3 linked regions of the Rattus norvegicus genome follow. The protein of the gene in region 1 purifies or fractionates together with the protein of each later gene. This does not show direct contact. Links are inferred from orthologs where the notes say so. Each region holds a gene or a part of one and is shown in the gene's direction. Other genes may lie near its edges. The genes, in order: Dtl, Cops5 and Cul4a.

The links.
Region 2: the proteins of Dtl (region 1) and Cops5 purify together in Homo sapiens (affinity purification with mass spectrometry; 6 studies listed by BioGRID and IntAct, with this or other methods). This does not show direct contact. The link is inferred for Rattus norvegicus from reciprocal best matches to the Homo sapiens genes DTL and COPS5.
Region 3: the proteins of Dtl (region 1) and Cul4a purify together in Homo sapiens (affinity purification with western blotting; 15 studies listed by BioGRID and IntAct, with this or other methods). This does not show direct contact. The link is inferred for Rattus norvegicus from reciprocal best matches to the Homo sapiens genes DTL and CUL4A.

Annotation. Positions count from the first base shown.
Region 1 is NC_086031.1:105,679,277-105,682,925, reverse strand, and holds part of Dtl (denticleless protein homolog), read left to right. Parts: exon of another isoform or gene 1-970; intron 971-1,524; coding exon 1,525-1,650; intron 1,651-2,293; coding exon 2,294-2,392; intron 2,393-3,328; coding exon 3,329-3,390; intron 3,391-3,474; coding exon 3,475-3,595; intron 3,596-3,649. UniProt on the Homo sapiens protein: Substrate-specific adapter of a DCX (DDB1-CUL4-X-box) E3 ubiquitin-protein ligase complex required for cell cycle control, DNA damage response and translesion DNA synthesis.
Region 2 is NC_086023.1:13,973,945-13,978,278, forward strand, and holds the start of Cops5 (COP9 signalosome complex subunit 5), read left to right. Parts: upstream 1-1,393; 5' UTR 1,394-1,501; coding exon 1,502-1,644; intron 1,645-4,211; coding exon 4,212-4,334. Other genes in the region: Cspp1 (centrosome and spindle pole-associated protein 1), read right to left, coding at 973-1,178. UniProt on the Homo sapiens protein: Probable protease subunit of the COP9 signalosome complex (CSN), a complex involved in various cellular and developmental processes.
Region 3 is NC_086034.1:83,114,390-83,118,038, reverse strand, and holds part of Cul4a (cullin-4A), read left to right. Parts: intron 1-2,189; coding exon 2,190-2,293; coding exon of another isoform or gene 2,294-2,294; intron 2,295-3,649. UniProt on the Homo sapiens protein: Core component of multiple cullin-RING-based E3 ubiquitin-protein ligase complexes which mediate the ubiquitination of target proteins. As a scaffold protein may contribute to catalysis through positioning of the substrate and the ubiquitin-conjugating enzyme.

The DNA of each region.
Region 1 (3,649 bases):
TGTCTTATCTGTCTGAGAGGCTCCCTATCCCATCATCTTTATCCCTTCCTTTATTCTATTTTGCAAAAGGAAGGCATTTTCATGTCCCCGTCTTACACCTTGCATTGTCTATCTCAGGATAGACAAACTGCTGCACGTCCAGAACAGGTCAAGCGTGTGAGGATTGGCAGTGCCCTAGGTGTGAGTTCCAGCACTTGCAGCTGCTGGTTTATTACTTCCTTGGTCAGTCAGCAATTGCTTCTTGAATGAGTGTTTCTCTACTGAGGCTGAGCATGTTAATCTAAAAAATCTGAAGGGTTTTGAGTGTTAATATGATATTCAAAAGCCTCAGGACACCCAACCAGAAAAATGTAAGCAAGTTGAAAGCATTCTTGGTTTCAAGTGTTTTGAATAAGAACATTCAACCTTTATCATTTAAATGAGCCAACCTACATGTTCATGCTAACCAGAGTTTAGATGATGACTTATTTAGAAGCATTATGCACATTAGAAAGTTGGCTTTATTTCTGAATGAAATGAAAATTTACTTTGAGTTGTTCTCTAAATCCTCATTCCTTAGAGGCAAGGACAGACCACTTTTGAGTCATATCTCAGATACTGTGACTGGGTTCCTGTTAGAATTTTAGGATCCTAGAATTTCAGCACTTTTAGGAAAAAGGCAGTTAAATTACCAGTCGATACAGTAACCCTTTGAATGCTGATTGTGTTATGATTGCTGTCTCCTTGATTATCATTTGACACTCCCAAAACAAAAGCAAACTTTGCCTGGAAGGGAGGAACAGTTTAATTGGTGATGCTTTAGTGGCTGTGTCTTTGCTAAAAGAGTCAGATCTCCTTGCACTGGTGCTGATCATAATACACTAATTTTCTACATTTTAGATGTAAGACAGAGCTGGATGTGGTAGAACATGCCTTTAATCCTCCCAGCACTTGGGACTCTGAATTCAAGGCTACTCTGATCTATGCCATAGTAAGTTCAAGGCCAACCAAAGCTCTACATAATAAGCCAAAGAAAATTTTAGATAAACCCAAATGCCCTCGGAGTGTTTTGATTTCTTACTTAAAATGGCTTAAGAAAATAGCAGAAATGTCTGGGCAGTAGTGGCATGTCCCTTTAATCTCAACACTTGGTCTCTAAATTCAAGGCCAGCCTGGTCTACAACATGAGTTCCAGGTCAGCCAAGGCTGTTATACAGAGAAACCTTATGTAAAAAAAAAAAAAAAAAGAATGAATGAATGAATGAATGAATGAAAAGAGAAGAAAAGAAAACACCAGAAATGGTATTCTGGAGCACCATAGATCGTGAGTAGATCTGTTACACATGTAAAGTTCTATATGAATAATACTCAGCCAGGTATGGTAGCTCATACCTTTCATCCCCATCACTTGGGAGGCAGAAGCAGAATCATTGCCTCCATGCCTCAAAAAGACAAACGAGACTAAGGATATTTATCTTTAGATTTGTGGGAAATGCTAAAACATGATGTTGCCTTTTAATTCTTAAAGGGATTGTCCTGTTGTAGGGTGGTCTTCACATTATCCTCTGCAATCTCTCCTAAGTGGTTATCGGTGCAGCTGTAACGATGAGCACACATCTTACGGAGAAACGGGAGTCCCAGTTCCTCCTTTTGGATGCACCTTCTGTACTGGTAAGGAAAGGACTAAAAACACTAAGCTTGAACAGAAAGAATATTGCTTCATACTTAGAGGGAAAATAGACTTTGAAAGAAGAGTAACTTAGGTAGATGTTAAAATTATTCTCATAACTGATTTATAAGGTACAGAGATGTTTTTTAAATGAAGGGTTTTTTCCTAGCAATCATTTAAAAAATGTGAATAGAAATTCTTGTCTCCAGTCTAATGTTTAATTGAGGAAAGGTCATGAAAAGGAAGTTTAAAACCAATAGATTGTATTCTCTGGTGGTCTGCATCCTGATTTTATTTACCATTGGCCAGTACCACTCTTGATTTAGTCAAGTAAGAGTATCTGAAGATTATTTTGATGGTTAGAGTCAGGGTTTTTTTTTATTATTTTTATATTATGTGTATGGGTGTTTTGCTTGTGTATATATATGTTTATGAACCACAGAGGCCAGAAGAGGGCCTTAGATCCCTAGGAACTACTGTTGCAGACAATTGTGAACTGCCATGTGGATGCTGGGAATCAAACCCCAGTTTTCTGTTAGAGCAATAAATACTTTTGACATAAGCCATCTCTTAGCCCTGTTGTGAGTCATTTGGTACCTTTGTACTCATCTTGAAAGTCCTTATATATTCTTTGTTTCTCTTTAGCTCCCAGTATGGAGCATATATTAGCAGTTGCTAATGAAGAAGGCTTTGTCAGATTATATAATACAGAATCACAAACTAGCAAAAAGACATGCTTCAAGGGTAAGTCTGTAATTTTTAGCATTTTTAATTCATAAAGCTTTTGGTAAGTTACTGTTGTAATACAAGGATGCTGGTCAGCTTGAGTGGAATAAGGTAGATATTCATGTACATGGTAAGAACAGTGAGGGATACACGCCTGCACAGAGCTAGCAAGCAGGGCCTTAAATGCCAAACTAAAGTCAGACTAACATTTATTACCTTGGTAGGACTTTGTGAAGATCCTATTTTAGAGAATGCTTCTAATGCTATGAAAATGCTTTTATTTCTTTGGGGGAGGGGGACTTTGGGAAAGTGCGTGGACACGAGTGTGGGGGTCAGAAGTTGTTAGATGTCCTCCGTACAGCAAGTGCTTTACCCACTGAGTCCCCTCTCTCCCTCGTTTGACTTTAGATGATAGCTCTTGCAGGTGTCTTGGAGGGGCTGTGTGACATTTGTGACACCATAATGCTCTTTGGCCTCTTAACAGTAGAGTACTAGTTACCATCTTATAATGAAAACTTCCAACATGTCTTAGTTACGGATTCATTGCTGTGAACAGACACCGTGACCACAGCAACTCTTATAAAGAGAAACATTTAATTGGGGTGGGCTTACTGTTTAGAGGGTCAGTCCATTATCTGCATGGCTACTTGCAGGCAGGCATGGTGCAGGTGCAGGTGCTGGAGGAGCTGAGAGTTCTACATCTTGATCCACAGTCAGCAGGAGACCGCTGCATTAGGCACAGAGTATAGTAGACCTCAAAGCCCGCCCCCACAGTGACACACTTTCTCCAACAAGGCCACACCTACTCTAACAAGACCATGACTCCTAATAGTGCCACTCCCTTTGGTCCAAGTACACACATTCCTATTTAAGCTACCATAAAAGTTGTTTTTAAACTTCTACTGTATGACTATCATAGAACACACTCTGGATTTGTCATATTTCTTTGTTTAGAGTGGATGGCTCACTGGAATGCTGTCTTTGACCTGGCGTGGGTCCCTGGTGAACTTAAACTTGTAAGTGACTTCCATTTTATTAGGTCTGAGTAGATGCTGATAAAGGGTTTCTTTCTTTTAATTTTACTATATTATTTTTGGAAGGTTACAGCAGCCGGTGATCAGACAGCCAAATTTTGGGATGTAAAAGCTGGTGAGCTAATGGGAACATGCAAAGGCCACCAGTGCAGCCTCAAGTCTGTAGCTTTTTCCAAGTTTCAAAAAGGTAGGTTGGTGTTCATTATTTTCCTTAGTGGTGGGGAGATGCAATGACATTTTT
Region 2 (4,334 bases), on another chromosome or scaffold:
AATCCAAAATCAAAACCAACAGTAGTGGTGAATAGTTAGCAATTCTTTTTTAGCTAATTTGTCTGCTAAAAACCTGCATTAGAAGAGGATACAGCCCGGCAAGGGTGGTACATGCCTTTAATCCCAGCACTCAAGAGGCAGAAGCAGGCAGATCTCTCGAGGCCAGCCTGGTCTACATATCGAGTTCCTGAACAGCAAAAGACCTTCCATGGCCGGGGGAGAGGGGGTGAGAAAAAAAAAAAAAAAAAGGATACAACACAAAGCTTACTGGGAAAAAGCAAAACGTCCGTGTGAAGCAACTATAGAGCCTTCGAGATCCTGTGGAAGGAGCAGTTATTGTCAAAGAGTTAATGGAAGGCATCTCGACTGTGCTTTTTAAATACTGTGTGCTCTAAAGCAGAAATGTCAAGAAGTGCATTTAAAGCAATGCTTAACAACTACTGCATTACTAAATCAAGGAAAAAGTTCTAATTAAAAAGCTGGGTCAGGGTGGCTAAAAGATGATGAAGCTGGAGAAGTCTGTAAGAACCGTGTTACGAAAATAATTAAATATATTAGAATTAAATAAAACAAACAGATTTTATGCACGCCTTCAACTTACACTCTAGTGGGCATTTGGGGATGAGAATGAGAGGGAAGAAAACCTAAAAACACGACTGAAACAAATTTCATATTAACTACCGGAAAGAACGGATTGCGGAGATTAATTCTGCACTGAGACAAACCTTTTTTAACAAGTAGCGGGTAAGGCATTCACATCTCCTAACACTTGTATAAATGTTACCCTATAAACGCGTCAAAAGTTAATCTTAGCAACCGGTGAGTTTTGCTTGCCACCTCGCAACAGTAGCGAAAACACAAAAGCGAAACGCCACCCACAAACCCCGGAGGGGTTTATACTCCGCGAATTATCTTAAAAGACAATGTCACATAATCTTCCCCCTCCAAAACCAATAATCCGGAGATACTTACACCTCTGTTTCTCTAGAGACATTTAGTATTCCAAACAATTTATTTCGTTTGAAGCACCTACACTCACATAAACATAGTTCCCCAAACCGAAGTTCCCTCCCACACGCAATATGGCGGAATCTGAGTCTGCGCAGTGCGAGGCGAGACGGCCGACTCCTTCCTGGCAGGTCAACAGGCCCGCCTTCCGGCGCGAAAGGCCGTACCATTCCCACACAGAGACTTTGCGTCCCTCCCAGTTCACACGTACGGATTTCAGAGCCAGCATGTCCTCGTTTCGTTCGCAAAACTATTATTAGCCGAGCCGAGCGGACCCCTAGGAAGTGTTTTCTATGTCGCTACGCCGCCGCCGCGCCCCGACGCGCGAATGGTCTGGACCAACGTCACCTCCGGTCTCAAGTGTCATGGCTGCCTTGAGAGTCTAGTGAGTGTGCACCCGTGGTGGGGAAGGTGCAAAGCCCGCACGCTGAGGCCCAGTAGAATAAAGTTGCATCTTGGTTGTGGAGACTACAGCTTCTCCGGTCCCTCGGCCATGACAGCTTCCGGGAGTGGTATGGCCCAGAAGACCTGGGAATTGGCCAACAACATGCAGGAAGCGCAGAGTATCGATGAAATCTACAAATATGACAAAAAACAACAACAAGAAATCCTGGCGGCGAAACCCTGGACTAAGGAGTGAGGAGGTCCCTGGCGAGACGCAGGGGAGGGAAGGGATGGAGGGACTGTGAGAGAGACCCTCGAGGGGTGGAAAATGAAGTGGGTGGAGAATTTGGCTTTCTGAGGGGCGTCGACAGAATACTGGCCGCCGTGGTTTTATTCTACCTTATCAGTAGAGACTTCGATTCCCCTTATTTCTAGGGCCTGCTTCGATACCCCTTTTAGAAAGTTTCTTACCTCCAGGGGGTGTAAAGGGATGACTTAGGGTGCTACTTTCTCAAAATGATTATTTTCGTAAATTTCACACATTCTCCCCTGAACCTGGTGGCTGGCTACATGCAGTTGGTTGCAGCCTTCAGTGGATCTCAAACTGAAGAGCGTGACTGTTTTCAGAAATCGAATGAGCAGGGCATTGATCTAAAAAACAAAAATGAGCCCTTGGGGTGATTTCTTTTTTATCACTCTTTTCCTCTGTAACTTTTTTAAAGACATACCAAATCCTCTTACCAGTTCTCTAAAATACTACTGCAACAATTCAGGATTTATAAAATAGAGCTTAGAGGCTATTTGCCCCCCAGCCAAATCCATGTATCTTTGGGGCCCACGACAAGTCAAAAGATTCTTTAGAGCAAATCATGTTAAGGAGAGTGAAGAAAAACATTGCAAAAGGTTGCTATGTAAACTGCCTTGCTGTTTCCAGGTGTTTTGTTTTGTTGGCAAAGCTGGTTTTAGCTGTCAGGATTCTATTTTCAGGGTTTTTTGAGTTACTACTGTGGGCCTGGCACTGGTCTGATGATTTTTATGTCATTTAATAATCAGGGCAATCCAGTACTGTACTTTCTTTCCCTTTCTGTAAATAGGAAAATAAGCAAATACATTCATGATTATACTATAGCAGTGAACTTAGGTGCAGTAGACTGAGAATCAAGTCTCATAACTGTCACTTAAACGGTTGACTGGCATTAGAAAAGTAAAGTATCTAAACTTATCTATAAGATAATGGTTAAACATAGCTATTACGAATATCATGAATTTATTAAAAAGATAATTTATTAAAAAGTTCTGGAAGAACCATATATAATAAGAGCATAGTAGTGGTTTGTTTTTCTCTTTTTCCCAAGTAGGTGGAGGAGCCAATTTTTAAATTTATGTCTTGATTTCCAAGATGATCTCAGCCACTTTCAGCTTGTGGTTGAAATCTAGCAAAAGCTGGGATCTGTACTTGGTTGCTTGCATCCAACAAGCCGTGGTGACACTGAGTGACCTGTGCAGATTTCTTGGCTGTCCCTTAAGCAAGCTGCACGTTTTAGATGGATGTAAACTCTTGACTTCCTCACCATCTGTGGCTATACTTAAGTTTATTCTAACATGCAGGATACAGCCGTGATTTTAAAATGTTCAAGAGTTTAATCATGTACAATAGTTAGTCACAGAAGTAAGGATACTAGCTCTACTCTAATTCCCAAGATGCTATCAGAAGGAAGCCATAAGCTAACAAGCTGTTTCTTTGAGAATATCTTAAAAAGCGGGTTAATAGTTCGATCCCCAGCTCCGAAAAAAAGAACCAAAAAAAAAAAAAAAAGCGGGTTAATAAGACTGGTAGCAGTACCTTAGATTTTAGTGTTTCTGGGACTAAGCTAAGCATTTACGGTGTACTTTTCATACTAATAGATGAAATATCTATTTATAGATATGTGATCTGGCATAGACATTAAGTGGCCCTACTCTCTCAGTTAGGGGGTGTCAGTGTAATTTAGAGACCTAAGCAAGTCAGTTTCAGAAGCCACATTTGTAGAAACTAAGTCCTCTGGCTCAGTGGGTAAGAGTACTTAGTTTTGCATGCAGACCTAAGGTTTAAATCCAGCATCTATGTAAAAATCCATGTGTGAATATGCTACCTTTTAGCATTATATGGAAAGAAAGCAGAGAGGACGGTCTGTGAGCTAGTCAGCCAGCCTAGCCACAACAGTAAGCTTTCAGTAAGAGACTCTGTCTCGAGGGAATGAAGTAATAACAGACGAAAATGAGCTGGGCATGTTGACACCTGAATTTAATCACAGCAGAGGTGGGTGATCAAGTTCCAAGGACAGCCTGGTCTACTGAACAGCCAGGGTTATACCAAAAACCTGGTCTCAACGAAACCAAAAAAAAAAGGTAGTGAAAGACCCCTGACAGCCTCTGTCATCTCCACAGGTGGCACACTAATAAACATGTACCACAGATAATAAATAAATAAATTATTTAATTAATAACTCAGTAAATTAAGGTCAGAAAGTTAGGCCTAAGAAGGTAACCAGGTATAATAATTCCATGTTGATTGAGGAAAAAGACCTGTGGAGTTGATCATTATTCCCTCATTTCAATAGTATATTTAAAATTTATTTCAGACTCTTTATGTCTGAGCCAAAGACACATGACATGGTATTTCCAGGCACCTTGTACTTACTGCTTTCTTTTTCCTCCACGTTCCACACTCCCTTTCAATCCCTATAAATCCCTTCAGAATGTATTTATTCTCACAGAAACTGTTCTGAAATTGCACGTTAAGTAAGGCTCTCGGTCACAGTGTGATTTTTGTTTTGTAGTCACCACTACTTTAAATACTGCAAAATCTCTGCGTTGGCACTGCTGAAAATGGTGATGCATGCCAGGTCAGGAGGCAACCTGGAGGTGATGGGTTTGATGCTCGGGAAAGTGGATGGAGAGAC
Region 3 (3,649 bases), on another chromosome or scaffold:
TCATGGCAGGGAGGTCTCTCAGTTCCCAGTCTCTGTATCTTCCTCTGGGCAGGGTTATTTTGAAGGTGCAGATCCCTTTGCTTCTGAAGACCTGAGTCTGAACCATTCAGGACATACTCCTGTGACTTACGTACTTGAATTTTGTCCTTTCGTCACCCTAGTACACATCAGAGGAAGACTCAGAGTGGAGCTCCACCTGAGAGCAAACTCCTCAGAGTGGCCTAGCTTCCAGGGAGAGGTCAGCTCTGGGCTGGAGTGTACAACAGAGCCGGAAGGTTCACCCCTGTCAGGCATATTAGTGAAGGAGGGAGCAGTGTGGGTCTGTGGAAAACCAAGTAACAGGATTGGCTAAAATGACATGGGAAAGCCCAGGGTGTGGTGAACAGGTCAGTATTGCTAGGACCACTTTGAAGAAGTCACGTACTAGTAGAGCATAAATTCAATACAAAAGCAGAGACTATAGCCTCTCTGACTTGTCTGTCCCACCAGAACCTGCCCTGGTCTAGCAGCCTCCTGCTCAGCTCTCACAGGTGTGTGTTTAGCTCTTACCTCAACCTTGAGTGCTAAGGTTGGGTTTGGAAGATGGTGACAGGTGCATGTCTCCTGAGAAGTTTCTGAGTTTCCTGTTGCCTGGATTTGAGTCCTGATTTCATTTTGTATTCTTACTTATTTCTCTCACTAGGCATCTAGAGGGGCCCAGTATCCCAGCCTCACTCTGAGTAGGGGGTAGTGCGGGGAGGCAGCAAGTTTGTATGGAAATAGTACCCCCAGGCCATCCTTAACACAGACAGTGCCACCAATCCTGGACTGCCATTGTGCATTACCGTCTTCTCATTTGAGTCCAGGGTCACCTTGGGTCCCACCTGTCATACCATATGTCTCTGTAGTGGCTGACTTCAGTTGTAACTAAGTACATGAGGAAGATTCATGTTAGTAGGTATGACAGCGATAGTGTGTCACAGCTAGGAAAAGTAGTTAGGACTGCTGACTCCAACTCAGGAAGCAGCACTCAGAAAACGCTCATATTAGGGGACTGGTGGTGCACACCCTTAATCCCAGTACTGGGGAGGCAGAGGCAGAAGGATCTCTGAGTTTGAGGCTAGCCTGGTCTATATAGCAAGTTCCAGGACAGTCAGAGCTACATAGTAAGACTCCGTCTCAAGAAGGAGAGAGAGAAAACTGTTGCACAAATGCTTTCTTGTGAAGGACGGCATACCAGCCACACAAACTGGACTTCTACAGAAAAGCACACAAGCATGGACGTGTATATAAAATCACTTTTTTTTCTGTACTTGTAAACATGGGCTGACTTATGCTGAGCTTCTGAGGCAGAGCTGACAGATAAGACGGGAAGGTACTTCGAGGAAAAGAGCTAAGGAAAGTCTCTCTGTTCCCTCTCCTCGTTAGAGATCATTTCTTTTTACACTTCTCACGTGAATAAGAGTCTGACATGTATATGAGATTTGAGAGAGGTTTAATATGAGTGATGAGATTATATTCTTTCAGTGGGTAGAAATAATTTTTTTCCTGTAGGCTGTTTAAAGTTGCCTTTTTGCTGGCTGGTGGGTGGTGCTCATCTTTAATGCCTGCACTTAGGAGGCAGAGACAGGCAGAGCTTTGAGTCTGAGGCCAGCCTGGTCTACAGAGTGAGTTCCAGGACAGCCAACGCTGAGAAACTCTGTCTCAAAAAAACAAACAAAAGTTGCCTTTTCTTCATCAAGACAAAATAAATGCATTCTACATCAACAATCAGTAAAAACACAGGGAGCGGAGCAGCCTGGCCTGTCACTCAGGAATCACAGGTCTAACACTCACACAGCTGGGCGCTCCCTCCTGCCACTGCCCAGGTTCACATGGCCATTTTTAGGATATATGTGTGCCCCATTTCAACCTAGAGAGTCAAAAAATGGCCACATGACCCAAACTAACCTCACAGCCCTGGTCTGTGCAGCCTGACAGGGCAACTCCTGAACCAGGGCAAAGCTTCACACCTGAGGTGCCAGCCCCCAAGGAACAGTGGGTGCAGGGTATGTCAGTCTGAGCCCCTCACTGCTGGCACTGCTGGCCATTGCCATCAGTGTGGGTGGCACAAGTGCCCTGACCACCCGAGAGGGCTGTACTGCAGGTAAACGCAGGGCTTTCCAAGAGCTCTGACGCGCGCTGAACAACCACCCTCTCCTTTGTTGTAGGCTGTTGAGAATCTGTGCTCTCACAAAGTCTCCCCCACGCTCTACAAGCAGCTGCGGCAGGTCTGTGAAGACCATGTCCAGGCCCAGATCCTCCCCTTCAGAGAATATCCTTTTCTTGCTTTGCTTTTTGTGCCTCATTTATGACACAAAGCTTTTAAAACTAGGATAAAGAACTGATGAATATCCTCAGTGTAAAATAATGGGTTTTAACTCTTTTTTTATAGAACAAGGGGCCTTTTGTTTCATAACTCATTATAATGGTTTTTTTAAAAGTGAAATTTGTCACATTTAAATAGTTGATATGAGTACTGCATCTAATTGGAACATTCAGGGGAGTTTTTAAAAATGTCTTAAAGTTTAAGTTCTGTTCTTTAATTAAAAATCACCTTATTTTTTATGATATGTGACAAATCCCCACAAATATGGCTGTCATACCCAGCTTATTTTCTTGGGGTGTGCCTGTCAGGAATCAGGATACAGCCCCTTGCTTTCTGTCTCGGTGTCACAGGCCCAATCGGTGTGACAGGGAGGAGTCTCATCTAACGGGGCGTGGGGGGGGAGCTGTAGGAACAAGGTCCTGCTTACCATCTGGCCATAGTGGATCTGGCGTAACCCTGAGGACTGCCCCTCCGGTCCTTGCTGCATCCACTTTCTCCTGGTGGATCGTGCACTCTGGGCAGGCAGGAGAACCTGCCTGTCCGGCCTGAGACTTCCTCCAGGGACAGGACAGACAGAGGCGGGCTGGCTGTGTCTCCCATTAGGAAGGGAACAGTCGGCCTGTACTGCACACAGGGCTGCGCAGAGGCCATCTTAGGTTTGCTGCCGTGTCACCTGTCACTCATGCCCACGAGTACGTCTGTCCGACCTGGCCTCGGGCCAGTTTTAAGCGCACAAACTCTGTTGTGTGTAAAATCCATGTTGACTTCTTTGGCTCCATGCATTCATGTCTAAAATAAATTCCAGAACCTTTGTATTCAAGATTTTCTCCTGATTCAGGAAGTCTTTTTCCCCCTCCTGGGGACACTTGACCCTGCCAGCTGTGCAGACCCTGTTCATTAAACACAGCAAGCAAGTGTGGCTGGACACCGAGCCTCTGGGAGGTCTACTACACAGCTTCAGTCAAGATGCCTCTTGTGTTCTCCGTCAGCATTTTGAACCAACGACTGCAAGATTAGACAAGAACGTGGTGACCAGATCCCTGGAGAACTTGCTCACATGCATCTCCTCTCAGGACAGAGCTGTGAGGCGCATGGAGCTTCTGCCCCATCGGAGCCCTGGAGGAGACTGACCCTAGGCTGAGAGTGGTCAGCAGATGCCACCTAGGACATGGCACCCAGCACTGTTTTGCTCTAACCCCACTTTGCTGCAAACGGCTTTTTTACTTACTTTAATTATCCTCCTGCCAGTTAATCCTAGTCTGGGGGTTGACCTAAGTGTTCACACACTCAGCAAACCTTCAT